Linked DNA regions of Rhinolophus ferrumequinum. The protein of the gene in region 1 interacts with the protein of each later gene in a pairwise test. Links are inferred from orthologs where the notes say so. Each region holds a gene or a part of one and is shown in the gene's direction. Other genes may lie near its edges.

Evidence for each region.
Region 2: the proteins of OTX1 (region 1) and RGS20 interact in binary tests that used the Homo sapiens proteins (3 or more experiments, as listed by UniProt). The two-hybrid records come from large-scale screens. The link is inferred for Rhinolophus ferrumequinum from reciprocal best matches to the Homo sapiens genes OTX1 and RGS20.
Region 3: the proteins of OTX1 (region 1) and RGS17 interact in binary tests that used the Homo sapiens proteins (3 or more experiments, as listed by UniProt). The two-hybrid records come from large-scale screens. The link is inferred for Rhinolophus ferrumequinum from reciprocal best matches to the Homo sapiens genes OTX1 and RGS17.
Region 4: the proteins of OTX1 (region 1) and CHIC2 interact in binary tests that used the Homo sapiens proteins (3 or more experiments, as listed by UniProt). The two-hybrid records come from large-scale screens. The link is inferred for Rhinolophus ferrumequinum from reciprocal best matches to the Homo sapiens genes OTX1 and CHIC2.

What each region holds. Positions count from the first base shown.
Region 1 is NC_046296.1:26,506,601-26,513,959, reverse strand, and holds the start of OTX1 (homeobox protein OTX1), read left to right. Parts: upstream 1-4,187; 5' UTR 4,188-4,285; intron 4,286-5,789; exon of another isoform or gene 5,790-5,856; intron 5,857-6,156; exon of another isoform or gene 6,157-6,258; intron 6,259-6,608; 5' UTR 6,609-6,673; intron 6,674-7,359. Other genes in the region: EHBP1 (EH domain-binding protein 1), read left to right, coding at 478-592, 811-901. UniProt on the Homo sapiens protein: Probably plays a role in the development of the brain and the sense organs. Can bind to the BCD target sequence (BTS): 5'-TCTAATCCC-3'.
Region 2 is NC_046297.1:24,429,585-24,437,768, reverse strand, and holds the start of RGS20 (regulator of G-protein signaling 20), read left to right. Parts: upstream 1-5,113; coding exon 5,114-5,272; intron 5,273-8,184. UniProt on the Homo sapiens protein: Inhibits signal transduction by increasing the GTPase activity of G protein alpha subunits thereby driving them into their inactive GDP-bound form.
Region 3 is NC_046286.1:96,009,619-96,017,237, reverse strand, and holds the start of RGS17 (regulator of G-protein signaling 17), read left to right. Parts: upstream 1-4,548; 5' UTR 4,549-4,700; intron 4,701-5,345; exon of another isoform or gene 5,346-5,446; intron 5,447-6,675; exon of another isoform or gene 6,676-6,768; intron 6,769-7,619. UniProt on the Homo sapiens protein: Regulates G protein-coupled receptor signaling cascades, including signaling via muscarinic acetylcholine receptor CHRM2 and dopamine receptor DRD2.
Region 4 is NC_046288.1:16,508,723-16,517,124, reverse strand, and holds the start of CHIC2 (cysteine-rich hydrophobic domain-containing protein 2), read left to right. Parts: upstream 1-5,331; 5' UTR 5,332-5,688; coding exon 5,689-5,807; intron 5,808-8,402.

The sequences.
Region 1 (7,359 bases):
GGGGCTGTACAGGGTAGCTTGGGGGTGGGGGAGGAGGATAGGTTCTCAGGCAGATTCTCTAGCCTTTCAGAATGATTTTATCGCCCATCTCTGCTTCCCGCCTCCTCATTTACCCACATCCACCACCACCAAGCCTTGGGCCGACCTCTTCTAGGCCTCCAGCTCTCCCTCCCCTACTAGGGCGGAAATCAGGTGCGCACCTCCGGCTAGCCAATGGTTCACACCTGGTCTCTTTTGCAGGGTCCAACTCAGCCGTAGCCATCTCCATCTGCGGAAAATATTTAGAAAGCAGCGTTTTAGGGGTGAAAACCTTACCACGATGGCCAAACACCCCACAGAACACTAGCTAGTGCCTCTGTAATATGGTTTGCAGAGTACAAGGAAACTGGAAAAGGCGGGAAGGGAGGATGTGTGTGTGGGGGGGGGGGGGGCTGCGAGTGTCCCGCGGGTGAGTAACGAGCCTTCGGTCCTTTGCAGACTGGCAGAAGACTGAGGCCCAGAAGCGACGGGAGCAACTCCTGCTGGATGAGCTGGTGGCCCTGGTGAACAAGCGCGACGCGCTCGTCAGGGACCTGGACGCGCAGGAGAAGCAGTAAGTGGGCACTGGGATCGGGGTCCAGGCTCTGCTGCCTGCTGAGGGGCCGAGAAGTTTGCGGAAACTTCAGTCCAGAGGTCTCCAATGGGCCGGGACAGCCTCCCACTGGCCCCGCTGTGCCCATTCCCGCTGGGGCTCGGAATGCAGGGCAAGCGGGGAATGCTGGCTTTGCCCTCCACGTAGAAAAATAATTTTGTTTCCTATTTGACTTCCAGGGCCGAAGAAGAAGATGAGCATTTGGAGCGAACTCTGGAGCAAAACAAAGGCAAGATGGCCAAGAAAGAAGAGAAATGTGTTCTTCAATAGTAGCCGGACCAGAATCTTTCCCAACATTTTAGTCTTGGGTCCCCAGACCAGAAAATGTCAGACTCGTTGATTTAAAACTTTTAACATTTTGTTTGGCTGGATTATGCTTCTTTACCACCACCCCTTTTCCTCCCTCCTTTCCAGATAATAGACAGAACTCCAAAATAGCTTTGTTTAAGGGTTTTTTTGTTGAGTTAATCATTTCCTTGAAATCATGTGAGATAGATTTGCACAGACACCTTGTGAATGATTGGTATTACGAGTGTTCAAGAAACTGTTCAAAGAAAGAAAGAAAAGAAAACCCTTCCCTCAGTATTTTCCCTCACTTTTTGATAGGAAGAAATTGAAAACATTTTTTGTTGTTGTTAATAGCATAATGACGGTGGGAGGGGGGTAAGAAGGGAATAAGAAAAATGTCATGAATGATTTTTTTTTCCAGTCCTGCCATATGTAACACTGACTCTGTTACCTAAATTTTATAGTTAGATCATATTCATTCTACTTATTAAACTGTGTTCTATTTACCAGTGGGATTTTCTGCAGTTGTTTTGCATTTCACTGTAAGGATAATAGAGTTCCTCTCCTCTGTTTTCCTCAGAGGATGATGGCCCTTTAACATAGCCTGAGACAAGTCCTGTGATTTGAAGGTGAGCTGTGAAGATGGTATTAATTGACATGCATCAGTTTACAAAGACAGTCTTATCTTCTGAGAATGCGCCATCTTTTTCTCTAGATAATTATTTATTACATCTAGCTTGGTTCCTACATTTTGTTGGATTTCAACATTGGCTCAAGAATGCTGTTAATATTTATTCTGTATTGATAAAAGTTTGTCTTGCCACTATGAGTAAATCCCCCAGTTAATATTTTCTTCTCTAGCGTAGCACTGTCATTTTTTTGTGAAAATGGTTACCTGTTTATTTATTACAATGCTGAAGTCATATATAAATTTTCAATAAAAGCAGAAACTTTCTTACCTTAAACACTCTGCTACTTCCTTGCAATGAAAACTTGACACTGGTTTGAGAAGTTTGTGTTTCTGTAGGACTTTTCATGTGGGGGAAAAAAATGGTCCACTTGAGCACTGGGCAGGATACTGGGCTGTATTTGGAGCTGAATAAGTTTACACCATCCCGGAGGGGCCCTGTTGACACAGGAATTCGAATTGAAAAGCAGTTAGTCATATTTTCTTAAGCAGTGTAAACTATTATCTTTTATAAACGGTCATTTCTGTTAAAGATTTGAGGAAATTTGTGATTCCACAGCACTGAAAAAAATGTTAATATCTTGATGAATTCTCCACATTATTATTTTCAATTGTTATAATTTTACAGCCATATGAGGAAGAACTACAACTTCTAATAGCCTGCAAATCTGTAGATGCTAAAGTGAAAGAAAGGTTTATTGCTGGGGGGTGGGGGGGAGGGGGTAAGTGCTGCAGGTGTGTATGAGGTGAGGAAAAGGGAACTTTTAAGAAGTTCTAGGCAACAGAAAGAAACTGGCGATTTTTACGGTAGTTTCCATTACTCCTCTACAGAGGTGTCCGAAACAAAGAAAGCTCATTCAACAAGTCTGGAGAGAGAAAACAGTTCACTCGCAAATAAATATACTTTTGCCTAGATCATATATATGTATGTATATATACATATATATAGGTATATGCATATATGTGTGTACATACACACAAATATTTATACATACACATAAATTCGTTCGAAAATATGCAGCCACTTACAATTGCCAGTCTTTCAAAATGATAAACACTTGCTACCGTAGAATTTCTTCACGACAGAAATTTTAAGAAGTTATTGAAAAGTTATCGGAACTCAGTGAAATCGGGTATTTGCCCTCTTTATTCGAGCAGAAGAGCCGAGCCAGCGGCAGCTCTCTGGGGGAAGCTCTCAGACGCACGCTCTAAGCCCTGGCAAGCCGGCAGACGGAAATCGCCAGCCCAGAGCAGCCTGACGTTTGGGAGGCCAGCATCACCCACCCCATTTACGCTGGATTCGGGGAACCTTCCCTCCCGAGGAGCCTCACAGAGAGGCGACTCCCCCAAGCCGCTCCCGACCTGCCAAGCCCCAGATTTGCTGCCCCTCCTGCCCCAGGCGGGAGCCTCGCTGGGGTCCCATTTGGTCTGCTCCCGAAGACCTGGCGCCGTGGCGCCCGCACGCCCCGCAGCGGCGGCGGAGAGCGGCCCCCAGGACTAGCTGGGTCAGGCCCGTGGCGAGGGCGCCGTGTCCCGATTGCCTCGCGTTGTGCCCAGGGGCTGCTTCTTGAGCACAGGCGCGAGCCCAGCATACGGAGAGGCCGGGAACCCGAAAGCCCGCGCTGCAGGAAAAGAAGCTGTGCGCGCGGGGGTCGCCGAGGAGGAGGAGCGTTGGCAACCGGCTGGCTTGGGCACTGCCCGGCGGGCCGGTGCAGAACTTCCTCCTCTGGCCAGCATCCCACGTCCCCGGAGCCAAACCCCTCCCCTTGTACCAAGTGTCCTCCAGAGTATGGCCTGGCCTCGAGGTCACCTGGATGCTGGATCCGGGTCCCGGAGCCCAACTCCCACGCTCCCTCCCCGGCCCTGCGGGCCACGGGCTGAGTCGACTTGCCTTCTCTCGGGGATGCCCCCACTTCCCCTCCCCGCGCTACGGCCGTTGCTGGAGAGGTCGAGGCTTCTGGCCAAGTGTCTCCCACCTGGACATGTGCCTAGTGACGGCCGCCTCAGTCCTGTACGACGCATACAAGAAACTTTCATCTCAGTCTCTCTCTATTCTCCTCCCTCTCCCCTCTCTTTTTCTTCTCTTAATCCCGGGGTTTTATGGGTTGAGCATTAAGAAAACTCGCCTGCAATTTGGGATTAGATAAGTACTCTCATTGGCGGCGTGGGGGGGGTGGGGGAGACCGTGCTACTTGATACCTCCCAACTTCCCCGAGACCGTGCAGCATCTGGAACCCAGAGCGCAGGGCTCCCGCGTGGCGGGCCCTCGGGACCGCCTGAGCACATTCCAACGCGCACAACCGCCCTACCTCGCCCAGCCGGACCTCCGCCCCGCGCTGCAGCTGCAGGCATAACCGGGCGCCGAGAAAGCATGAGAGCAAGAGGTGGCGGGTCTAGGACAAGGCACGCACCCAGGCCCTGGAGGACTAAGCCACACACACAGCGCGCAGGCCTGGGCTGGAGCAGCGCATTGCTAGGGACACAGTCGCTGCCAAAGCGCACCCCAGGACGCCCGCATTCGCTTCCCCCAAAACTATTGTGCTCCAGCCCGCGCCTTTTCCCAGAACTGAAGGAGAGGGTGTATTTCGTTTCTTTCTGTAAACCTCTGCAACGTCTCCGAGGGCTCCGAGCCGCGGGCCTCGCGAGCTACTCCCTGCCGGGGCCTGCGCAAGCCTAAGGTGTGTCCCCGCCCGGGTCAGCGCTGCGCTCTGCGCAGTTTCTTTTCCAGTTAAAGCTTTTCTTTCTCATGTTTTTCCTTTTCTCTCGTTTCTTTTATTGTTTTCTCTCTCTCTCAGTCTTTCTCTTTTGTGAATGGGCTGCGGTGTCTTTGTTCTAGAGAGAAGCGCCCGTGTCGCTGACTTTTGTGAACCAGAGAAGGATCTTGTAAAACCTCCTTTTCTCCTTCGTACTCCCCCACTCCGACCCCTCCTCCTTGGCCCCTTTGATTAGATGTTCCCTCATCTTCCAAAAAAAAAAAATGTAATTTCGTTGGTCTGGCGGCCACTTTCTTTGAACATTAGCTCGCTTTCAGCTCCAACTTCAATTAGAAGGAGTTGATTTTGAGAGATCAACAAAAGAACCGACCAAAGCCTTATTAAAGGTCCTAAGAAGATCTCCCAGGTCCTTTGAGAAGCAGTTAAGGAAACAGTGTGCCCTCCATCATATTCTGTTACCGTATTTTATTCGGACTCCAAAGGAAAGTGTCGCTTGGGGGAGGGGGAAGCACTTTGATGAGCGGCGGCCGCGGCCCCTTTCCACTCAGCGGGCTCCCCCTTCTTTCTGCTCCTTGCGCAGCGCCCGGTCCTCTCTCGGTGCCCGACCCCCTCAATGCGCCCGGCGGCTCCCTGACTCTCTCTCACACCTACTCCTGTCCAAACTTCTCACTCCGCCTGTAGGGGTGGAGGGAAGGGGGATTAGGAAAAAGGGGTATGAATTCCTCGAAAGGCAGTAAAGTCGTGCCTAATATTCAGGAGGAGGTGCCATTTGAAAGAATTGCCTTGCTCAGGATTGGGGCGAAAAGACGTTTTTTGAGCTTTGAAAAGTCCACCAGGTGGACGTGTTTGAGAAGTTTGTTTGGCTGAGAAATGGGCTTTGCCAGTACGAACAATACGGGAAAATCGCTTCAGGGAGGCTCCTTCTGCGGCATGTGGGAAAGAAAATGAAGGCAGGGATCTGTGACCACCTTTTCCACCCGATTGTCCCTGGTAGAAGAATACTGGGAAAGAGACAGAGACGGAGTGTGAAAGAAAAAGTTTCCTATCAAAAATTTTCGATTCAGAAGTAGAGTGTGTGTGGAAGGGGAAGGGAACACTGGGAGGGGACACGACATTTCAGAAGAAGCGTTTAAGATTTGCAAACACCCTTCGTGGGGTTTGGGAACTTCAGGAAACGCCGAGGAGCAGGTAAATGGCGGGGCCTCTCCTGCGGGTGCTGTTCACGGGAGCGGGAGTCCTGGGGCGCCGAGGTGGGTTCTGCGCACCCGGCGCTGCGCCCGCGCTCGGCAGAGTAGCCTGTGCCGGCACGAGCTGCCCGCGGCGTCCGTCTGCAGGTGGCGGCGCAATGGAAGAAGACGCTGGGGCCCACAGCGCCGCGCGAGGGGCCGGGGGCTGGGGGCCCATTCTCCTCCAGCCCGCCTGAGTCCTCGCGCCCACAACCCGGCCGCTGAGTCGGGTGGCGCTCGGGAGAGCTAGAGAACCGGTTCTCCAGCACCTCGCCTCCTCTCTGCCACTCCCTCCGGGGCGCTGAAAGGGTGAGAGAAGGGCGGGGGCTCCAGGGCGGCCTGGGGACCGGCGTCCCCCTCCGCGGCTGGGGCTCCGGGTCTGTGCAAGTCTTCCTCGCCTGGCTGTGCGCGTAGTTTGCCAGCCAAGCCCGGGAGTTAGCGCGCGACCGGGGCGGGGCGGGCGTGCAGCGAGGGCGGGGTGCAGGGGGCGGGGGAGGGCGGGGGCGCGCGGAGGTAACCCCCGACTCGGGCTGCCATTGCCCGGCTCCCTGTCACTCAGCCCGCGCGGGGCCCAGGATTGGCAGCCTAGCCCCGTTACGCACTCACCTCGCGTTCACATACCCAGGGAGGGCAGTAGAAAGGTGATCAATCTTCATCAGGCTACATTTCCAATCACCTAAACAACCGGGCAAGACAAGCCACACCGACAAGGTAAATCGCTTGATTTATTTAGTTTGTAAAGTGCCTCTGCAGGACTTCCCCAGCCCCCACCGCCTCACGTTTTACCGGGAGTGCAGCGGCAACCGCGAGCTGCCTCCCAACTCTGCCCCTCTCACTCCACCCTCCCCCTTGAGGCCCCTTGGCACGATCCTGGGCAAGGTAGTGTCTCGGGAGCGTGTGGGGTTTTGCAAAGTGTCTGTGCAATAAAGTGAAACTTGGAGGGACACGCATAAAGCCAGTGGAAAGGAAGAGACGGGAGGAGGGAAGTTGGGAAAAGAAAGAAATCGGCGGTCCTAGACAACGCCAGCCCGGCGGATAATTCCTGCGGTTCTGTTTTGCAGGTTGACTGCCCGGCGGGTTCGTGAGGGCGCGAGGTAGATGGTGAGCAGCCCCAGAGCTGAGGGAGGTAAGGAGAAAGCCGCCGGGCCGCTCGGGACTCTGGTACGCGCCGGGTGCTCTTGCGTTCCTCTCCTCAGACGGGTCCCCACTTCCCGGGTCCCGGCACGTGGGCGGGGCTGGAGAGCGGCCTGGCTCCCCTACTGGTGCGCGGAGGACCCCAGGGCCCCGCTGCGGCCCCGCGCCCCCGCCTCCTCCGAAGTAACCGAGCTGAAGTGTTAAGTTTAAAGAAAGTCTTTGAAACTCACACTGCAGCCTAGCAGAGTCGCCGAGGCCCAAGAGCCCCGGCTGTTTCCTTTTCGTCCCCTTCTCTGCAGGCTGGATTCTCCCAGCCCAGGCCGTGCGTCCCGAAGGATAGGGGCGGGAGACTTCTTTAGCTCTCACGTCTCTCCCTGAACTCCTTAGCCCAGGTCCCAGGCCTGCGTTGACTTCCCGCTAAGAGGGGTGAAGAGACAGGTCCCCTGGGGCCCCAGTCCCACTCCCTCAGCACCACTTCCCGACCCCTGAGGGTAGCGCCTCAGGTTCGGGACAAGTAGGGAAGCGAGGCTTTGACCTTCCAGCCCAGGTCAGCGCGAGCGACCCTGAGGCCTACTTCTCCAGTCCGGATCCGGTCCTGGGGTCGCAGTTTCAGCTGGTAGGGTAGTCAGAGAGCGCACGGGACCTGCTGAACACAGGCCTCCTAAATCCTCGGGACCC
Region 2 (8,184 bases), on another chromosome or scaffold:
CTGACTCTCATTGGGCAGGTCACATGCTTGACCTTGAATAGTCACTGTGGGCAGAGGGATGGAATGCACTAATTGACCAGGTCTGGGTTGTATTGACAGACATGGAGCTGGATGCAGAGTCAGCTATATCCAAATAACACGGCCTGAGAATGGGATAGATGTATTTCCCCAAAGAAAACCAGAGTGCTACTATTAGAAAAAGAGTACATAAATGGTGGGGGGCGGGAAGTCCACTACATTCTTGACAGACCAGCATACACACACACACACACACACACACACACACACACACAGAGGCATACCTCCCTTTTTTTCCATATATACACTTTCAGAAATGCTCCCACTTAACATATCCCACATGAGATTTAAGATGTACTCACTCATTCTAAAAAAAGACAACCCAGAATCTTTTCTACTTACTGCATCTGGATGAAAGTCAAGGATCGTTTGGTGACTTGCAGTCTTTTTGGTCTGGTGTATGTGTGGGTCCTTAAGGCTGTCAATCCATGGTTAAGTGATGCTTCTACACCACTTTCGATACACAGTGATGGAGGAAAACAAGGTAACTGGATTCATGATATACAGCAAAGACAGGCTATTCTATCAATAAAGCAAATGACTTGATCCACAGTCTGAGCTATGACTAATTGTGCAGTCTGAAACCCTCCCTAGTCTTGGTCTTCCATAACTGTCTGAGATGAGCCTCTGTAAGGATTTTCCTCTCTGGATCTGCATATCTTCAGTTTCCTTTACCTAAGGAAAGAGTGTTGGGTGGGCTTTGCCAGGCTTAGGGTTCTCTGATAGTTCAACTCCGTTAATACTTTACTCAATTGGTTTTCAATCCATTTGTTTTCCATCACTGTTATGAGTTAGTAACAAAGTCAGAGTTTTATTAATTGTCCATTAACCTTCCTCCTCTCATCACACTCTGAGATGTTTGTGCTTCTTAGACACAATTCTCCCAGCTCTGCCTGTTAGTTACACTGACACTTTAAGAAATGTCCTTTAACTTAGGATAATGTAGAATAAATATATGTATTTGTCAACAAGTATTTTACTCAACTTTCAATAAATTGTAAAATTCTTTTCTCATGCAAACTCCTCTTACTGCAATTTCCAGGAAACTTTTTCGGCACAGAATGCCAGGAAAGGCCAGTCAATGGTATTGTGCCATTATATGCATACACACACACCTCAAATATGAAAAAATATGTTTACTAGAATCTAACAAACACTGAGTATGCAACATTTTATTAAAGCAAATTAAAGATGAAAGAATTTTCATAGAAATAGTTGCTGAGTAGAAAGAAGTTTCCAAAATAGAGAATCATTACAAGTATGAGGAAAGTGCTAGAGATAACAAATATCCAAATAAAATGTTTCTTCCAAGGTTTAACCCCAGAATAGATGTGCAAAAGTGAAAGTGGGAGCAAGAGGAAAAAAATTCTGGTGGACCTGTGATATTCTTAAAGAAAAAGAGAAATACAAACAATTTGGTTTGCAGAGTGGCACAGAACACTGTGCTCTGTCCCTAGTGTATGGAGATGTGGAGGCTGGTCCCAGCTACAGTATTATATGTAGTCCTTGGACATATCACCTAATATCTCATGTAAGTTCCCCATCCACAAAATGAAGAAGACAAAATGGGCAGGAGGACAAGATGATCTTGATAGTCCTTTCCAGCTCCAAAGATTGCACATGTCAATTTGAGACTATTAATACCACCTGTTCTGTTTTCATTCTAAGAGTCCAGAAACAAATACCAGGTTTCTAGACCCTCAGACCAGTGATAGTTCAACCATATCTTCACTTAAGTGTCCCTGAGAAACATTTTTTTTAACTGTTAAGATATTTCTTGCCCCTACTCTGAAACATTTGGGCACTTGAGAAAGTTTCCTATCTTTTTTAAATAAAAACTTTAGCAGCATTATTGAGATATAATTCACATATTATATGATGCACCCATTTAACATGTACTGTTTATTGATTTTTAGCATATTCACAGGGTTGTGCAACCCTCATTGCAATCAGTTTTATAACATTTTTATCACCCCAAAAAGAAACCTCTTACTCATTAGTCGTCACTCTCCATCTCTCCCCAAACCCTCCTGCCCTAGGCAACCACTAATTTACTTCCTGTATCTAAAGATTTGCCTATCCTGGGCATTTTCTTATAAGTAGAATCATACATGTGATCTTTTGTGACAGGTTTCTCTCACCCAGCACAATGTTTTCAAATTTCATCCATGTTGTAGCATGTTGTAGCACTTCATTCCTTTTTATTGCAGAATAACATTCCATTGTATGGATACACCTCATTTTGTCTATTCATCAGTCGATGGGAAAGTGGGTTTTTTCCAGTTATTGGACATTTGTGTATAAGTCTTTGTGTGAACATATATTTCACTTCATTTGTTTCAGTAGATATCTAGGAGGGAATTGCTTGATCATAAGGTAGCTCTATGGTGAACATTTTGAAGAAGTGCCAAACTGTTTTCCAAACTGATTACAACATTTTATATTCTCATAAACAATGTATGAGAGTTCCAATTTCTCCACATACTCACTAACAGTTGTTATTGTCTTTTTGATTAGAGCCAACTTATTGGATGTGAAATGGTATCTCACTGTGATTTTCATTTGCCTTTCCCTAATGACTAATGATGTTGAGCATCTTTTCATGTGCTTATTGGTGATTTGTATATCTTCTTTGGAAAAAAGCCTGTTTAGATACAACACCCATTTTCACTTGTTTGGGGGTTTTTGTTGTTGTTAGTTGTGAGAGCATTTGAATATTCTAGATGCAAGTTTCTTATTACACAGCTACGACTTTCAATACTTTCTTCTATTTTGTGGGTTTATATTTACTTACTTGATGATGTCCTTTAAAGAACAAAATTTTTTAATTTTGGTGAAGTTCCACTTGCCTATTTTTTTCTTTTATCACTTGTGCTTTTTGTGTTGTATCTAAGAAAGCTTTGCCTAATCCAACGTTACAAAGATTTATCCCTATGTTATCTTCAAAGAGTATAATAGTTTCAGCTTTTACATTTAAGTCTATGATTAATTATGAGTTAATTTTTTTATGTGATTTGAGGTAGAGGTTCGACTTAATTTTTATGCCTACGACTATCTAGTTGTTCCTGCATCATTTCTTGAAAAAACAGTTCTTTCCCCATTGAATTGTTTTTGCACCTTTTTGAAAATCAACTGACCATAAATGTATGAGTTTGTTCCTGGACTCTCAATTCTATTTCATTGATCTATGTATCTATTCTTATGCCAGAACCATAGTCTTAATTACTGTAGCTTTGTATTAAGTTTTAAAATTGAAGGTGTGAATCCTCCAAATTTGTTTTTCTTTTTTGGGATTGTTTTGGATATTCTGTGTCCCTTATAATCTCAAATTTTAGAATCAACTTGTCAATTTTTGGAAAAAAGGGAGCTGGATGTTGATAGAGATTGTTTGTTTTACAGATCAATTTTGAGCTCCTGGGATCATTTTACAAAAGGAAATTTCTCCAGTTCATAGTCCCCAGTAATACACACCTGAGGCCCTTACCTCTGTGCCCCCAGACCCAGCAGAGACAACTCAGACATTAGATAACTTCTTTAAAGAAAGGTATTATGTTCTACCTTTTTGTACTCACTTTGTTTAAAATCTTATTTTTATAAAGTACTTTATAAATATAAAGTATTTATAAATATGAAATATTTATAAAGTACTTTATAAATATAAAGTATTTATAAATATGAAATATTTATAAAGTATGAAGCCAAATTCTTGGCTTAATCATTAGATGACTAGCTGCCTCATAAGAAAATCATTTTAACTAATTCTACATGACATAAATATAAAGAGTGATAATCCTTAACCTTGAGTTTGCATATGAGTTTAGCATACATTTCTATCCACAAAGCTGACTGCTGCTACTAAAATGATATTTTAAAAAACCTAAATATATTAGGTGAACCATTTGCCTTTCAATTGCAAAGCACAGGACTGTCAAGTAATCCATTTTCATTTTTTTAAATTAGTTTATTGGGGTGACAATGGTTAGTGTGGAGACAGAGCCCCAGAGAGTACTTTCCAGGCTCTCGGCTTCACATAGAAAGGTGCTGGCTCAGGTAGTAGATGGTCATCAGGTGTGACTATTTGGTCATCAGCTGTTACTGGTTAGCCATTAGCCACTGATATAACTGCCATGGCTAAGCTGGCAAGTGGTGGAGTGTGGATTTCGGATCATGTGGCTCCTGCTTTCTGTGTCTCCAACCCAGCCACCAGTGAGACTATAGTGGTATGACTCCCCTATCTATGGCTCCATGGGTGTTCCTTTTTGGCCTCACCAAGTCCTACGTTCTTATATGGGGAGCGGAACCAGAGATCCCGCATGACACCCTGCATGACAGTTAGTAAAGTTACATAGGTTTCAGGTGTATAATTCTGTAATACATCATCTATATATCACATTGTGTGTTCAGCACCCAGAGTCAGTTCTCCTTCCATCACCATATATTTGATCCCTTTTACCCTCATTTATTACCGCCCTTCCCCCTTACCCTCTGGTAACCACTAAACTATTGTCTGTGTCTATGAGTTTTTGTTTCTTCCTTTGTTTGTCTTGTTCTTTTGTTGTTTTCAGGTTTATATACCACATATCCGTGAAATCATACAGTCCTCAACTTTTTCTGTCTGACTTATTTCACTTAGCATAATAATCTCAAAATCCACCCATGTTGTCACAAATGGCACTATTTCATATTTATCAGTATATATTAAGTAACATATTGCTTGAATCATTTTTTTCAGTTTTGATTTAGGATTAAATTTTAATTAGGAATACATTGCTACCTGTAGAGGGCAGTCATAACATAAGTAGGCATTCAAAATAAGAGGCTCCACCTGGAACAGAACATTAAAGATCTGTGGATAAGCTGCTGATCCACAAAACAGATAATCCTTTTGCTTTGATTAGTGTCACTTTCCAGGGAGCCCCCCAGCAGACTGAGAGATGGCTCAGCATCAGCCAAAAGAAAAGAAATAGGGTGGACTCTGGACTGGTGTTGTTAAAATCAGGCTACAGAATTCATTTGGAGCCTTTATTGTAAAAACATGCCCAGGCTTTCCCAAGACAACCAAGAATGCATTCAGAAATATTTCTCCAGGCCATCCATGTGGAAGCAATTTCTGCCCCTGCCTAGGGCTGAAGGATATAATGCAAATATTCACCAAACCGCAGAAAACGAAGAGGGCACCAAGGCTGTGTATGACGTCAAGGTAAAACAATTTCCACAATCCATGATCCTTTCTTGACAAAGAAAGGGTTTATCCAGAAAGAATATAAAACCATAAAAAAGCTTCAGCGTCATTGCTCACTCACTTCATCTTACTGACAATATATCAAAATTGTTTTCAAACCAACTGTCATGCAGGGCATCGTCAGGCAGGGTCTCTAGTTCCGCTCCCTGCATAAGAATGCAGGATATTGGTGAGGCCAAAAAGGAACACCCACAGAGCCATAGATATGGGAGTCATACCACTATAGTTTCACTGGCGGCTGGGTTGGAGGCACAGGAAGCAGGAGCCACACCATTCGAAACCCGCTGTCCACTTGTCTCTGCCCAATGACACACCTCACTTGATAACTGCAGTCCGCCTCTCTGCAATCCTCAATCCACACTCCACCCTTGCCAGCCACTATTTTCTGCTAGCATAGCCTCGGCAGTTATATTAGTGGCCAATGGCTCACTGGTTACAGCTGACGGCCAACTAGCCACAGCTGATCGCCATCCAATCACAGTTGATAGCCTGGAATTACTGCACTACTCGAATGAGCACCTTTCCACATGAGGCCGAGAGCCTGGAAACTGCTCTCTGGGACTCTGTCCCCACACCAACCCCAAGAGAAAAACTAGAACCTTGATGATAATTACCTGATCTGTCCAGTTTTCTCATCTAAACAGCTCCCATTTACCAAGACAAATTATTCTTTATTTATTTTTGTTTGTTTGTTTCAGGAGGTAATGTTTTAAAAAGCAGAAAACCTAGACAAATTTTTGTGGTTATTGCTATTAAACCCTGAATGTTTTTCTCTGATATAAAGATTACACCCCATATAGTAATGAAAGAAAAATTATAGACTGCTTTCAACAAAAAATGGAAGTAAGAAAAATTGATATACAAATACAGGGTCATAAGAACATTAAGGAGCGAAGGGGTGTTTTTCTTTTCTTTTTTTTTATATACATATATATATTTTTTAATTTATTTTTTTAATTTATTGGGGTGACAATTGCCAGCGAAATTACATAGATTTCAGGTGTACAATTCTGTATGACATCATCTATAAATTACATTGTGTGTTCACCACCCAGAGTCAGTTCTCCTTCTATCACCATATATTTGATCCTCCTTACCCTCATCTCCCACCCTCCACCCCCCTTACCCTCTGGTAACCACTAAACTGTTGTCTGTGTCTATGAGTTTTTTTTTGTTTTTTAGTTTTTCTTAGATGTTTATCATATCCCTCACACTGTGGACCCCCCCTCCCCCATCCACTATCTCTCTGACATCGCACCGAGCCATCCCATTTCCACTATCTCCACTCCCAATGCTGTACTCTGCCTCTTGTAAATGTTTACATACCTATATATACATATATATATACACACACATATATATATATAATATTATAGTTGGCATTCATTATTGTTCAGCTTCAGGTGTACAGTGCAGTGATCAGGCATCTACATCTTCTCTGAGATGGTCTCCCAAATGGGACACATGTCTATCGGATACCCTACAAAATCTTTACAACATTATTGATTACGTTCCCCAGATTAATTTCAAAACCCCGTGACCATCTTGTGGTTACTGACTGTTTTCTAATCCCCTCACCTTCCCCTTTACCCACACCACCCCACCCATCTAGCAACCCTCAGTTTTTCCTCTTTGTCTCCAAAACTGTTTCTGATTAGTTCATTCACTTATTCTTTTCTTTAGATTCCACGTATAAGTGAGATCATATGGTACTTATCTTTCTCTGTCTGACTTATTTCACTTAACATATGTTCTCTAGGTCCATCCATGTTGTTGCAAATGGTAAGATTTCTTTCTTCTTTATGGCTGCGTAGTACTCCATTGTATAAATGTACCACAGTTTCTTAATCCAGTCATCTGTCGATGGGCATTTTGGTTGTTTCCATGTCTTGGCTATTGTGTATAGTGCTGCAATAAACATAGGAGTGCATAAAGATTTTTGAATTGGAGTTTTGGATATCTCCGGATAGATACCTAGGAGTGGAAGTACTGCATCATAGGGTAGTTCCATTTTCAGATTTTTGAGATACCTCCATACTGTTTTCCATACTGGCTGCACCAATCTGCAATCCCACCAAGAGTGCACAAGCGTTCCCTTTTCTCCACATCCGTGCCAGCACTTGTTGTTTGTTGATTTATTGATGATAGCCATTTTGACTGGGGTGAGGTGGTATCTCATTGTGATTTTTATTTCATTTCTCTGATGGGTAGTGAGGTTGAGCAATTCTTCATATGTCTGTTTGCCATTTGTATGTCCTTTTTAGAAAAGTGTCTCTTCAAGTCCTCTGCCCATTTTTTAATTGGGTTGTTTGTTTTTTTGGAGTTGAGTTGAGTGAGTTTTTTATAGATTTGTGATATTAATCCCTTGTTAGATATATCATTGGCAAATATCTTTTCCCATTCAGTAGGATCCCTTTTTGTTTTATTGATGGTTTCCTTTGCTGTGAAAAAACTTTTTAGTTTGATATAATCCCACATGTTTATTTTTTCTTTTACTTCCCTCGAGCGAGGGGATATATCAGTAAAAATCTTACTCCGGGTAATGTCTGTGAAGTTTCTTCCTATATTTTCTTCTAGGTATTTTATGGTTTCAGATCTTACATTTAAGTCTTTAAGCCATTTTGAATTTATTTTTGTATATGGTGTAAGGAGGTGGTCCATGTGTTATTTGCATGTGTCTGTCCAGGTTTCCCAGCACAATTTATTGAATATACTGTCTTTACTCCATCGTACATTCTTGCTTCCATTGTCGTAGATTAAATGGCCATATAGGCGTGGATTTATTTCTGAACTCTCTATTCTGTTCCATTGATCTATGTGTCTGTTTTTATGCCAGTACCACGCTGTTTTGATTACTGTAGCCT
Region 3 (7,619 bases), on another chromosome or scaffold:
CTTATAAAATATGAAAGTCTAATAGCATCTTATTTTACATATTCGGGAAGTAGACTACCTTTTCTTTCTTTTCTTTCTCTCATCTCCTTCAAATACTGATAAAGAAACACAAGTATTTTCCATCTAAATCAGTTCCCTCAGAAGAGCCTGTTTCTAAGGTTTGATTAAAACCAGTTGAAGAAACACGATAAGCCCTGTTTACTAGAAGTAAAGGAAAAAATGTGTTTAAGCAGTCATATTTCAACTATCCCTCCACCGTTTCCTCTGGAGGAGTTTTTCTGGATGGAGCAGTCGGGGGTTCCCAGACGCAAGCAAATTTCTTTCTTTTTCCTCTGCTTTTCAAAGGTAAAAACAGTTGCTTTTTTTTTTTTTTTTTTTTTTTTAATGAGCATGATGTAAGGAAAGAGAGAATGAAATGGAAAGATGCTACACAATTACTTCCTGAAATAACCTTTCCAGGGTACCAAAGTCACTGAGGTAGATTCCAGCTCTCCCAATGACAAATACCCCGAATTATGAGTAAATGTACTATAAATACTTTGACGTTCTGTCCTTTCCCAATATCTTCTGTCTGCAAATATCTTGCCTGCAAATCTCCTGTCTGCCTTACTATGAAGTCACTATACCAAAATCTGCTGCTGTACCAGATTCTCTCCACTTGAAAACACATTCACACAGTACGGAAATGGTCATGATCAATGCTGCTTTTCATAGTTACCACACAGCTGTTCAAGGACAAGAGGCCCACTGAGCTCTGAAATTCTGTACAAAAAAAAGAAAAAGAAAAAAAAAGGCATCTCCATGGCTAAAATGCATTGAAATTCATTTCTGAGTCATATACAATAATTTTATATAACGTTTACACTTTTTGCTTGTAACTTGAAGACATACTAGCAGGCATATAGTGGACTTGAATAAGTTTACTAAATTGAATTTTTGACCCAGTCATCATTTGATGTCATCGGTGTTGCACATATTTCTGAAGACCCAGATATGCACATGGACTGCAAGTGATCAAACTCTATGAGGTCAAGGTCATTAAAGCTGTGGTCAGTCCATCCACCTGTTCAACACTCAGATCATAGGCAACATGTCCAGTTACTAGGACACTATTACTGAAGATTCTGGTTAACACATAAAAGATTACACAACAAACCACAACCATGAAAGAAAGTCACCAAGCGATTACACTTGACTTTGGCAAGTAAATTATTGGCAGAATAGTCAGGTTATCATGAGTGCAAAAATTTGCCCAAACAGCCTTTATTGCAATTAGGGAAGTTCATGGAAGTAAGGATCTTTTTTGTTATCAAGTATGCTTGTTTTAAAGATGGTTCTAGGAACACTACTCTGGCATCTAGTTTGAAGTGCAAGGAGCCATCTCTGACAGAGTGGACAGATGAAACAATGCAGTCTGTCTGTGCCCTTGTGAGAAACAACACATTCTGAGAAGCAGCAATGAGGATCCAAGACAAGAAGCATCACAGAAATAAAGAACACGTTATTCATTTTCTAAGCATGTTATTTATTCATTCAATCATGCATTCATTCACCAAATACTTACTGAGTATGTACTAGGTTCCAATGCTAAAGCTGTTCTAGGCACTAGAGATAAAACAGTGAAAAGTGCAGGCAAAGCTCCTGAGATACTTGATTCTAGAGGGCGGTGAGGGGATAGTAAACAAATAAATAAACGTTAGCTGATTCAGATGGTTGAAAAGTATTTGGAAGAAAATAACGCAAGGGGATCCAAGAGAATAACTCTGGGGCAGAGTACATTGGGTGGTAAGATAAATCCTGAGTAGGTGATAGATCAGCAAAGACCTGTAGGATATTAAGGAGCCTACTATGGCAAGATCTGGGCGCAGAGGCTTCCCAGACAGAAATAACAGCAAGTATAAGCTAGACTTCTTGAAGAAAGTACAAGAAACAGGCCGATGTGGCTACAGCACACATAGCTATTGTCTATGGGAGCCTTGTATAAAGACCTATGCTGGGACAAGATTGCATAGAACCTGCTAGGCTGTTGTAAGGGATTAGGGGCTGTATTGAAAGTGCAATAAAAACTCATTAAAGAGTTTTTAAGCAGAAGCGTGTCATGATCTGGTTATGTTTTTAAAAAATCACTGTCATGCAGGGTATCATGCGGGGTCTCTGGTCCCACTCCCCACATAAGAACACACCACATGGCGAGGCCAAAAAGGAATCCCCACGGAGCCATAGGTAGGGGAGTCATACCACTATAGTCTCGCTGGCAGCGGGGTTGGAGACACAGGAAGCAGGAGCCACAGGATCCGCAACCCACTGTCCTGCCTTCTCTGCCAACCAACCTGGCTTGTTAACTGCAACCCACCTCTCTGCAATCCGAAATCCACAATCTGCACTTGCTAGGCATAGCCACGGCAGTTATATCAGTGGCTAATGGCTAACCCGTAACAGCTGATGGCCAACTAGTCACAGCTGATGACCATCTACTACCCAAGCCAGCACTTTTCCACGTGAGGTCGAGAGCCTGGAAACTGCTCTCTGGGACTCTGTCCCCACAGATCATTCAGTTGTTGTTTGAAGACTGTGTTGTTTTGGGGCTGTGGAGGAAAGGCCAGCTGGAGGCTTTGGGGTAGTTCACGTGAGAGATTGATAGAGGCTTGACCAAGGTATAGCAATGAAGAGGGAAGAAGTAGATGAACTGGGGACATGTTTTGCAGATAGAGACACAACATGAGTTGCTAATTAATTGGGTGTAGGGGGTAAAAGAAAGACAAAATTAAGAATCACTGTTGTACACCTGAAACTAATAATATTGTGTGACAACTTTAATTAGAAAAAAACCGAAAGAGAATAAAGACGACTTCTAAATTTTTGACTTGAGTAACTGGATGGAACAATTTGAAGAGGAACATGTTTGGAGCGGGTGGATATCTGGAGTTCTGCTTCTGAGATGTCTGTTAAACATAATAATAGTACCTACCTTGGAGAAAAAAATAGAAACGTATGCAAAACATTTAGATCAGCACCTAGCACACAGTAATCGTTCACTAAATATTAACTATTATAATTATTCTTCAAGTGGCATTGCAAGAGTATTGAGGACAGAAAAGAGTTCTATGAGAGATCAGGACAGAAGATATCAATCTGGGAGTTACGTAGAATTCAGTGCTGCTCAAAACATTTTTGAAGAAAGACCTTATTTTTAATGCTCATGGGGCCAATTCGTTTGTAAAATCCACAAAAATGAATTACTGTACAAGTAAAATAAAACAGACAAAATACAGCTTAATGTGCTTGGATGTCAAGGCAATGTCCAATTGCTATAGAGTTTCTAAATCTTACTCTCAATTTGTGTACTGTACTTATCTTTCATTACAGACCAATAAGGAACAATTTGTAGACAACGCCAGACCAGAAAACACACTTTGAAGAGCACCAGTACTCAAAGCCTTGATGTAGCTAGAGAAAGGAGGCCCCTGGGGCAAACCCCGAGACACAGTTAAGTCATGTGGGGGGAGGGGGCCAGGAGGCCAGTAAAGGACTTTGCGGTAATGCCGACACTCTTTGAATGTATGAACTCACAAGCAAAGGGAAATCATATATACTATTTACAAGTAATCAGTTTTAATAGGTGTAAGAAAAAAAGCCGAATCATTCCTCCCAGAACTTACTCCTCTTCCCACAGATGGACACATCTGAAGAAGAGACACGCGCTTCCCTCATTCACCCCACAGACACTTCTACCTAATCCTCAGAGATGCAAATGCAGCGCCCATGATGCGTTCAGCATCCAAAGCGCCGTCCCTACAAGCAGGGCTCCGCTGGTGAACTGAACAATCATCAGACCTGCTAGCTACTGACTGAGCTGTCCCCCGTCCGGGAAGGATGCTCCAGACCCCAAGCATCAACACCTCTGTCAATAATTTCACGACTCTTGCCTTCTCTCACTCCCAACTCTGGCCCCAGCGGTCCCGCCGCCTGAGGCGAACACGTTCCCAGACCGAGAGCATCCGCAACCAGAGGGAAAAGGGTCCGATTTCTGAGTGAGGGCGTCAATGAAGGGAAGAAGTTTTCTGAAAGTCCGAGCCTGTGGTAAGCAAGCCTTGCTTCACTTCACAGTTTTTCTTGCCCGCCCACCCAGGGACTGCTTCCCCCGGGACCCCGCGGCGGCAGGCTTCTGGTTTCAGGCATTCCCCTAAACGCAAGGACAAAATAACCCGGGCCACGGGGGAACGGTGCAGTTGTGAAGGGCCTGGCTGCCACAGCCTCTCTAATCAGAAGGTTCCCAGGTCTCAAGGCCCCCGCAAAGCTCGGGACCAGATCGCCGGGGCCCGGGGGCCCCGCCCGAGACCCTCCTCGCCGCCCGCGCGGGACCCGGGCCAGCGCGCGGGGGCCGGGCCGCCCGGCGAGGGGCGGGGCCGTGACTCACGCGGCCGCGCGCGGGGGAACCGGCCCCTCCGGCCGAGCCCCGCGAGGGGCTGCGCCCGCCCGTGGGGCGCATGCGCTCTGCCGTGAGGCTCCCGCTCCCTCCCCGCCCACCGCTCCCTCCGCCCCCTCCCGCCTCCCCTGCATCCTCGCCTCTCTCCCTCTCCTCGCCTGCTGGGTGCTGAAGTTGGACGGATGGCAGCAAACAGGCTCCGCTAGAGGACCCAGCACCTCAGCCTCGCGCCCCCGGACCCATCGGAGAGCTGCCCACACCTCCAGGCTCCTGGGTAAGATGTTACCACTGAAACCGAGCGGTGCGAAGTAAATGACAGCAAAATGTCTGCTTTGCACCAATGGATGAATTTTTTAAAGGGGGTGGGGGAGGGAGGTGAAGGCAAGAGGGGGCGGAGAGTGCAACTGCCTTTGCCCTGGCGGGGGAGGCTGCCGTGCGGGGGTCTAGGCGCCGCTCGCGGGGCCGCTGGAGGGAGCAGGGGTCGCGCGGCAGGTCTGGGAAGTTGAATCCGCGTTGCCGCCTCGGCGCGGTCCGCTCGCCGCCCCCCAGCTGCTGCGGAGCGGCGGGGCGAGTGTCCTGCCCGCCCAGGGAACCCTCGGGTGGGTTCCCAGCGGAGAGCTGAGCGCCTTCGGGGAACGTGCAGAGAGGGCCAGGCCGAGGGCGGCGGAGACCCTGCGGGGTCGCGAGGTCCCGCGGGATTTTCTGGTTGGTTGTTAGAAAACCGAATGTGAAATTAACAGTGTACAATCGACCGATCACCTCGGGTGGTATTTTTTCTTTCTTACCTATGGAAAAATGCACTATTCAGGTGGAGAAGGTGTAAAAATGGGATTGCAAAAAACGCATACCTTGAGCATCTGAGGTGTTTGTTGTGTGTGTCAGGGTTGGGGGTCTCTTTTGTTCCTTCCCCTCCTCTTAGTCGAAGGAAAAGGAGTTCGTGTGTGCACGGCTTGAGGTGGATTCACAGCCACCGAGGGGCGAGGAGGAGGAACGCCCACCCAACCCTTAGCCGCTGCCGAGGTGGGTGTACCCGAGACTCTTGCTGCGGGTGATGATGATTCTTTTATTATCGATGGGAATCAGTGTAATAGCTGCCTCCTCGCCAGCCTCCCGCTTCCTCTCCTCTTCTTGTGCTGCGGCAGAGGCAGGGTGCAGACACTTGGCGGTTTCCTCCCCTTCTTACTACCTCCTTGTCTCCGTGAAAAATGTCGGAGGACTTGAGGATGGCGGAGGTACAGAGCTGGCCTCGGAAGACGCGGTGTGGAGATGCTCCGCGCGAGCGGGAGGCTGCTGGCAGCGCGTCCCGCGCAGCCCGCGCCATCCTCCAGAGTCACTAGGCTCCTGGAGACGGCAGGGATCGCCAGGCCAAAAAGGAGCCCGCCCTGCCGGGACCCGCCCTGCGCCCTCCGCCTCCATCCGGAGCCGGGACACTGGCTCACCTGGGACAATCTCAGTTGCTCAGGCAAGGCTGCCTCTGGCTCCTGACATAGTTTTCCAAACCTCCTTGACCCTTTGATAAATGCTTCCTTCTTAGGAGTCACCCGAAGGTTTTGTCTAGAGAACTTTGCAAGCTTCCCATAGCTGTTTCATTTTTAAAAATTGTTTTACAGCAAGATTATTTCCATCATGGGATGTCTATCTCAAATAATATATAAAGCGAAATCTTATAGTTTGGTTTGCATCTAGAATAAGCATTTCTGAGACTGGATGTCATCTGCATTTCCGGCGTTCATACATACTGGTTTTCCGGGTGATGAACCCTCATTTAATTGGAGAAATGAGAAACAATTTTTATTTTTGTAATGGAAAATAGTGTTTTTCCTCCTGGTTCATAGCTAGACACTGTGTGTATAAGGTAATTTTGAAAACTGAAACACAGTATGTAAATTGTATTTGTTTCTGAAGTCCTTTGTAGTATCAGTAATGCATGAAATATACATTGTAGCACTAATATCTAATGAAAAGGTGATTCCTACTCATCAATTCAAAGGAATGAGCCATTGACTTCTTCCAGTTAACTTGGTATTATTGAGCTATTTCTGTTAGCATGAACTAAAACAGTAAATAGCACACCCATGGGAGAGTAGATTTACTCACTATTTTTTATCATCTTAAAAACTATATTTAGAGAAACCATGGAAGAGTAGTTTATTTGTGATTTGTGGAGGTGAGAAAGTAAAAACAAGTGTTTATTATTACAAAGTGATTGGATAGCATCGTTTATTAAATAAAATCAATCTCCATGGCAGTGACACCTGATCTCAGAAGCATGGGCACTCATCCTGAATTTGTAGTCTGAAAGATTCTGAAAACCACTTGATTTACAGAACAAACAACATAAGGTGGGTGTTTTGCCAATTTCTACCCTTTTTGTTCTGGTTCCTTAGCCATTTCTTGGTATTTTGTTTCTGTGGAAAGGAATTAACAAGGAGAATTAATTTGGTGTCCCTGTTCAATTCTTAAGGCATTCAGCTTTACCGTCTTAAATACATAGCTCTTTGTTTTTAGGGTCCTAATATATTTAATAATGTTGAAAGTCTAATTCACTATCATTTGTGTGGACTTCTTAAACTTCTGAAAAATAATAATAGATAACATTCCTTAACATTTCCTTGGGCCAGGGACTTTGTAGAAAAGGGAAATTATATATATTCATATATATATATACACACACAGACACATATATATGTATATATATACATATATATGTGTGTGTATATCTGTATATATATGTATATATACATATATGTATAATATATGTATATATGTGTATATATATATATATATATATCTCACACATACATGCATGCACACACACACACCAGGGGTGCCAAAAAATGTATACAAGTGGACACTTTGGTCAACATTGCTCAAGCAGTGTGGTAGTTCACCGTAATCAGAAGTGTCTGGACACTGATGGTAACCACTTTGAGCACCTCTTGTAATTGCAGAAGTCAAATGTGACTTGTATTCATCTTTTATTATCATTATATATTATTACTATTTTAATAGTTTTCCTTTCTTAAAATGTGTATACATCATTTTTTTGGCACCCTCTGTATATACATTCTTATCCATTTGACATTATTGTAACAACCAAATCTAAATCTGAATTAATAAAAATTCTGGTTAACTCATAGACTAAAATGTAAGAAAACATTTACCTTGTAATCTACAGTTGTAGAAATAATGG
Region 4 (8,402 bases), on another chromosome or scaffold:
GGAAGTTCAGAAAGGTTGAGTGCTGTTTTCATCGTATCATAACAAAGGTATACACTATCAACATGATTTATAGCTGTTGATGTTGACCTTGATTACCTGGCTGCAGCAGTGTCTGTCAGGTGTTACCACCGTAAAGTTAGTCTTCCCCTCTTTTCCATATAGTGCTCTGTGGAAGGAAGTCTATATGTATAGTTCACACTCAAAGAATGGGGAGTTATGCTGCCTTTTGTTTCTGTATTTTTAAATGGTTATATTCGATCTAGGGTTTTTATGAGTTTCTAGAGTCAAAGGGTTCTGTGTTGGCTCTGACGGCCAATTGCTGGTTGTACAAATTGAGTCCTTCTCCAGGACCTGCTATTCTTCTCCATAGAGTGGACACTGGACACTGCTTGATTCCTATATTACATAATCTCTGTAGCATCTCACATGGATGATTACTGTCTCCTTATTGTACTTATAACTCCACACTCTCAGTTTGCCTCTCATCACTTTGGCTCCTCCCTCTCAGTTTCCTTTGTCATTCCTCCTCTCCTCATCTCTAATCACTGAAATTCCTTCATCCTAGATCCTTTTATCTTCTCACTCTTGGCTTTTGAGCCATCTTAGTCACTTCTATGGCTACATTTATCATGTATGAGCTGATGGAACCAAATGTATTTATTTCCTGCCAAGACTTCTCTTTTGAACCCTCCCCCTTCCTCCTTTCTCCCTTTCTGTCTTATCTATCTATCCATTCATCCACCCACACATCTATCCATCTATCTAATATCTCTGTTATCTATGTTCTACTCCATTGGGTGTTTCACATTCCATGAACTGAATTCACTATCCTCTCCTACAAACTTGGGAGAGCTTTAGCTGTGGCTAAACTCGGGGGACTCAAACATAGTCATCAGGGTAAAGTCACGTTTGCTTTATCCCTTCCTCAGTGTTGGCATCATTTTCAGGCAGTTTCTACCATTACAAGAGCAATATGGCTTTTAGTGGATTCATAGAAAATCAGGTCAGCTACTCCTTTCCAATAGTTCTGTTAAAAGCCCTGGTATTTAATCTTATTGACTCTGTCTGAATCATGTATCCATTCAAACCAACCACTGTGCCCCAGGGTATCTCATGCTCTCTGATTTTCAGCCCTTGGTTATATGTCCACTCTTGGAATTGGAGCTTAACCTAATCACATGTACTGAGAGTGGGGGAAATATGATTTACCACAAATCATCCAGGGAGGGTGGGATGTGTGCTGCTTTCAGAAGAAGTGGGGGATGCATGCTGGGTAGGTTGGACTATTGGCCTCTCATTTGGGGGTTTTAAAATGTACATCTGATGTTATTGCCTGGCTTCAGTGTATCTCCTTTACTTTTATCCCCTTACCAAGGCCTTCAAGTTTCTATCAACCTCTTCAACCCTGTCTCAATTTGGCTCTGCCTTCCTTACTATGGTCCAACCACACTGGCTTTGGCTTGTACCTAATTTAGACCATGTTCTTTTCTCCCTCAGTGTCTTTAAACATTGCTATAGATTGAATATTTGTTCTCCAGATTCATATGTTGAAATCTTAACCTCTAACGTGATGGTATTAGGAGGTGGGGGCTTTGGTAAATGATTATGTCATGAGGGTGGAGAAATACATTTCTGTTGTTTATAAGCTGTCCAGTCTGTGGTATCCTGTTATAGCAGCCCAAACAGACTAAGACAAGCATGCTGTTCCCAGTGTCTGAAAGTTTCTCATCTCTTCTATTTCCCTAACCTCATACTTTTGCTTAGCTCATTAACTTAAATGCTATTTCTCCAGAAAAGAATTCTTCATTTCTCAGAGTGAGTTGGATCCATTAACTGCTCTCATGGTCCCCTGTTCTTCTTCTCCACAGGAGTGATCACAATTCTAAAAATTCGTTATGTTTGTAATCATCTGTTAGCCCTCCCTAATAAACTGTATGATTCATGAAGGCAGGGACTGTGTTTTATTTACTGCCTTATTGCTAAAGCCTAGTTCCTGACACAGAATATGGCACATGCGAATAATTCAATGCATAATTGTTTAATGAATGAATGAGTGGAAAAATGAGAGTTTACATGCTGTCTTAGTTCAGGCTGCCATAACAAAATACCATAGGCTGGGGTGGCTTAAACAACAGAAATTTATTTCTCACAATTCTGGAGATTGGAAGTCCAAGGTCAAAGTGCTGTCTGATTTGGTTCCTGGTGAGAGCCAGCTTCCTAGCTTGCAGGTGGCAGTCTTCTTTCTGTGTCCTCACATCAAAGGGAAGGTGGTGGGGAAAGCAAACTCTCTGGTCTCTTCTTATGAAGGCACTAACCCCATCCTGAGGATCTCATCCTTATGATCTCATCTGAATCTAATTACTTCCCCAAAGCCCTATATCTAAATACTATCACATTGGGGCGTAGGGCTTCCATGTGTGAATTTGGGTGTGGGGACATGATTCAGTCTATAGCACACACATTACCTCATTTGACCCTTAATAACCCCATGACACAGGTTTCAATTCAGGATGAAGAAAAGGAAGCTTAGAAAACTGAATCTGCTGAAGGCCACTCAGCTACGTAGTGACAGAACTTGGAAGTTTTCAACCTAGGAATGTGAGCCTTAAAAACAACTGAGGATTTGTTGCTTCATGAGGCCCCTGAGGCATTATCCTGTTTGGTTTGGAGCTATTTGATCTGAAGGCAAATGTGAAAGTGTGTGAAGCAGGAATGTAAATAAAGGAGAACTCAAATAGAGAGGAGTCCTTCCAGTAGAGAACAGGAAAGCACCTGAACGCCGAGGGAAAAGATACTGAGAAGGGGTTTCATCCCCAGGAAGACACTGGGGAAGGAGTTTGACAGGAAATTGGAGACTGGAGGGTTGGAGGTGGAGTTTGGAATTCTGATGTCAACATTTTCCCTCACCCTCTGGGCCTTGTCCAGGTCCCACACCCTTATGCTGGCTCTGACAGGTTTTTTAGAGCAAGAAAAAGAGCAAAATAGAAGAACAAAAATAAGGCAGCCCCTACCTTACACTGAGGCGATGGGAGTTACAAAGATCTCTCTGTTGAATAGATCTTAGAACAGAACATTTCTCCCATAGAGGACTAGTGTTAAGATAAGGGGAAGGTTCTCACAGCCCTCAGAAGCCTAATTAACTCATAATGTTCTGGAAATAGCATCAGTAACAATATATCTCAATACAGTTAAAATTTATTGAGCCCCTTCTCTGGAGCGGTAACTGTGGAAAGTATTGGAGGTTTCAGGAGCTGTGAATGACTTCCTCTGACTTTGGAAAATTGTCAGCTTTGTGATGATTCAGATACTTTGGGGCACTGGCCCCTCATCTCGGCCACAGAAAGGTGTGTGTCAGTGCCTGGGACAGACTGACCTTCCTTCCTCTTGTTCCCTTTTCTCACCCTCCTATTTGCAGCTACTTCTTCAACTGAGTGTAACCACTAGCGTTTAGGTTCCTGCCAAGAAGAAAATTGGCTTGCCCAATACACTGGAGTTGAAGCCTTGAGTTTGACTATTAAATAGCCATGTGCCCATGATAAAGTCACATAGCATCTCTGAAACTAAGGAATAAATCACAGCCTCCTTGGTTACTTCACAAGGGTCTTGGGGAGTATTAAATTATACGTATGTGTTTTTGCATTACATAATGCAAAAAACTGTGCTGCTCCTCATAGAGTTGATTAGCTGGAGGGGCCTTAGAAGATCCCCTATTTCCCCCTCTATGTCATGCCCTCTTTTAAGCATTTCACATATATTAAATCATTTAATCTGAAGAGTAGCCCAATGGGGTAGGTACTATTATGTCCTCATTTCACACATGAGGAACAGAGAAGTTAAGTGACTTGTCCAGGGTCACACAGTAAGTGGCAGAGCTGAGAATAAAGGCAGAAGTCAGGCTCCAGAGCCTTGTGAATCACCGAATCAAGCTGCCTTCTGTGTGCTTCATTAGAACCATCTGGATACTCTTCTGGGGGCACCGAACAGAATTACAATTGCTTGCCTTTGTGATAAATAAGCTACTGGAAGGCAGGGACTGTATCTCATTCACACACACACACACACACACACACACAATTTGCACAGTGCCTGCCATGTGGTTGGAGCTCGGCAGTAAACATTTTTTGAATGAATAAATGAATAAATGTCCTCTAGGGAGATATACAGGAAGTCTGATACTTGTGCATCCACTGTGTTCTTCCTTCATCTTTTCTTGGCTAACTATGCTCATTTCCTTCAACCATTTCCAATAGGAGATAGTTTGGCATTTCTCACTGTCCTTATTGCCCTCCTTTGTACTTTGTCAACTTCAACAATGACCCATCTACAGTAAATGGCTAGGGTGTGAACATTGTACTTGGAGAAGAGTCTGACCAGTGCTGGGTCCAATATTACTCTCCCTTCCTGTCCCCACGGTATATGCTCCATATCCATAACTCAGGAGACCACTCCTGCCCATGAACTATTTGTATGCCAGGAACTATTTGTAGGGCAGGTTCTTGACAATGAAACCAAGTATCCAAGGTGACCCTTAGGCCTTTACTAGTGGTCTAGGCAGGTTAGAGGAATCCATTAAACTCTTCCTCTACTTCCCCTTCCCTCCCATCTCTTCCCCTCCTCCCCTGCCCCACCCATTTCCTTCCCTTCTTTTGTTGGAGTAAACAGATTCCCTAAGATCTTAAGTGGAAGAAAACAGGTTATGGTTGATGAGGGCTGTGGTGCAGGAAACTGCATCTTTCAATCTGGAATCCAGAGAATTTGTCAGTTTTGTTTCGTGTTAGTTACAGTTAGTTTTCTTGTAAGAAAAAAAGGTATCAGCATCCCTGGCCTCACATGTTAAACTACTTAAGGGGATGGTGGGACAAGATGCTTGAATTTGGACAAGTTTTAAAAAATTCTGTACTAAAATGGACAAAAATGTTTGCAGAGTGTCTGTGGGGCTCCTGACATTGGGGAAATGCAGACCTTGGTTCTTATCAGATTAAGAAACTGACGAAAAGCGAGACTATTAGATAAAATGGCAATCAAACGCACAATAAATTCTCTATTTCAGCCAGGGTTTTCATATTTAGTTCTTTTGGTTAGAGACGCCTTTGGTGAACCACGTGCCCCACTGGACACTCGGAGCTCTGTTCGCTGAGTCGAGGTTAGCGCATCTGGTCCGCAGAGTTATTCCCCTGCGGGTCCGCGATCCAATTGCTGGGGGGCGGAGCCACGCCGTGGGAGCGCGCGCCCGAGGCGTCGTCGGCGGGTGGAAGTGGAGGAAGTAAGGCAGCCAGGGCGCGCGCGAGGCCTCACGTACGCGCGCCCACACGCCTGCCCTCGCTCCCGGGAAGTCTCGCGATACCTTAGCCTGCTGCTCCCGCTGCGGGTGGCTCTGGCTGTTGCTGTGGTTGCCGGAGTTGCTGCTGCGGCGGCGGTGGCGGCGGAGGCGGTGGTGGTGCTGGTGGTATCGGCCCTTGGGCGGATGTTGACATTGTGTTGTTGTTATTGCTGACGGTAATGGCGGCGACGGCGACGGCCGGGACCCCATCTCCTGTGTAGTCGGAGCGGAGACAGCCAAGAGCCAACTCCGCGGCCTCTGAGCCCGCGGCAGCGACTCCCCTCAGCCTCCGCCGCCTCGCCAGCCCATACCCCAACCCCAGCCCCTGGAGTCAGGTCCCCTTGGGCAGGGGGCCTCGGAGGCTCAGGATGGCGGATTTCGACGAGATCTATGAGGAGGAGGAGGACGAGGAGCGGGCCCTGGAGGAGCAGCTGCTCAAGTACTCTCCGGACCCGGTGGTGGTCCGCGGCTCTGGTCACGTCACCGTGTAAGGCCCGGAGGAGGGCGAGGGAGAGGACGGGAGGTTCAGGGCTGGGCCGGGCCCCCCCTTACTCCTCGGGAGCCCTCTTTCCCCGCAGTCCGTCTTGTGTCGGGGGCCTTCGGGAAAGTAGGCGACCAGGAAGTGAGAACTTGCTTTATTTTCATATGTTTCGGTCTCGGAAGGGGATAGACCCTGCGCTTCCTCCCCACACACCTTTTAGCAGGCCCTACAGGCCTGGAGCGATGTGACGGATCTCAGAAGCAGAGGGTTTTCTCGAGGGTCTGCCCTGCGGGACACCCCTCCAGCTTCGGGATGGAAATACACGTATTCATGAGGTCCCTCCCCCTTGTTTTTTCATCTAGTTAACCTGTAGTTCTCTCTCCTTGTCTGGGCCTTTGAGTCTAGTGACATATGGCTCCGAGGACAGATCTGGGCCGTGTGAGACCCCAGTGACAATCGGTAATGACTTTCGGTTCACTGTCATTGTGTCTGTATTTCACGCATACTCGCAGGTCTTCCCAGTTTCTTGCAGAGTCAGTTTCTGCGGAACTAATGCAAGTTCCTGTAATTGTATAGAATAAAAACGTATAGATCAACATATATTTTAAGACATGCAGAACGATATATGTCTACAACTGATTTTTTTTTTTTTAAATCTACGTGGTGGACACACTGCTCAGGTTACTGAGGGTTCTCTGTAATCTAAGTCCCTCCTTGGCGTATGAACTCTGGGATGACTTCTTCGTTTGATAAGGGTTCCTGTAAGTCTGATTAACATAATTTAAAAGTCTGATATCTAAACAATATGGAATGAGAGCCTTCCGAAAGGTCATGACTAATAAAGGAATGTGAAGATTTCAATCAAATAATGAGCTACCCGGAAGCAGGAAGTTTTGTAATGTTTCTCCAAAAGTCCAGAGTTTTGTACAACTTGGACTGTTTATACTCTTCTTCAGTTTAGATCTCTTGTTTAAATCATAGATCAGACTTCCATGCTTGTGAGATATCTCAGTTCACGTTTTTAGTAACATAAAAGGACCAGCAAATGGAGACTGTTAACAGTTTTCATTATATTTTGGTTTAGGGTGAGTGGGATGTGCAATGAATAGCTTTTAGTGAAACAGGAAGACTTCTCATATGAGATTGTCATCAAAATCCTTGCATTTTTCAATCCATGGTATGACCAGCCATATTGTTGTTTGGGTATGCTTATATAATGTTTTGATTTCTTTAGCACCTGTTAGTTTATATTCAGGTGACTTAACAGGGTAAAAACACTGCATAATCGCTGTCACAGCGCCATGAAAAGACAATGGAATTTATCACCACAATAACAGTTATTCAGTGTTTTAACTGTCATCACCAGCAGAATTAAGAATTATAACCAAATGTCATGGATATTAAATCTTTCTTTAACATATTTCACAGACTTTTTTAGTCTTATAGCCTGCCATTTAATTTTTAATTTGACTCTTAGGGCAGTTTTACATTATTTTAAACCTAAGGAGTATATGGGTGCTTAAAGGGATTTTCAGACTTTTTCATGCTGTCTGCCCACCCTTCCCCCTACATTCCTCATGTCAAAGCAAAGCTGGCAAGATTTTATTTATAAAGGTGTAGCTATAGTTGTAATGTTTCCTCCGTTTAAGGAAGAGAAAAGCTAAGCACTTTGTTAGGTAAATGGAAAATATAATAGGCAAAGGATTCAGAACCAAATCGATGATCAGTAAATATGATTGTAGTTGACTACTTGGAGAGGTTAACAGGTTGGGAGAGAAGGTTCTCAATCTTAGCTACCCAGTAGCATTACCTGGGTAATTCTTTAAAAAATATCCCTGCCTTTGCCCCAGACCAAGCCAATTGAATGCCAAGTATCTGAGTGAGAGTCCCAGGCATGGATAGTTTTTTTTCCTTTTCTTTATTAAAGTTTATAGGGGTGACAATGTTAGTAAAGTTACATAGGTTTCAAGTGTACAATTCTGTAATATGGATAGTTTTTTTAAAAAGTCCCTCTAGTGAATCTTTTGTGTAGCCAGGATTGCAAACCACTATTGCAGAGTAGTATGAGGAGGAACTATATGCCACCACTGGTGGCATACTGGTTAATAGTATTCCTTTCTATATTGAGAGTTAATATTTCTGTGATTTCTCTCAACCAGTTACCTCTCTTCCTGTTACCTTGGTTCTAGGCTCTGGGCTGAAATCTAGTCTGCCGCTTCTTGGGTAAATTATTTATCTATGTCTCTTCAGTTAAGATAGGGATGGTTATAGTCCCTAACTTTTTTTTTTTTTTTAAGATTTTTTTTATTGGGGAAGGGGAACAGGACTTTAAGGGGAACAGGATTTTATTGGGGAACAGTGTGTACTTCCAGGACTTTTTTTTTCCCCCAAGTCAAGTTGTTGTCCTTTCAGTCTTAGTTGTGGAGGGTGCCGTTCAGCTTCAAGTTGTCATTTCAGTCTTAGTTGTGGAGGGTGCAGCTCAGCTCCAAGTCCAGTTGCCATTGCTAGTTGCAGGAGGCGCAGCCCACCATCCTTTGCGGGAATCGAGGAATCGAACTGGCAGCCTTGTGGTTGAGAGCCCACTGGCCCATGTGGGAATCG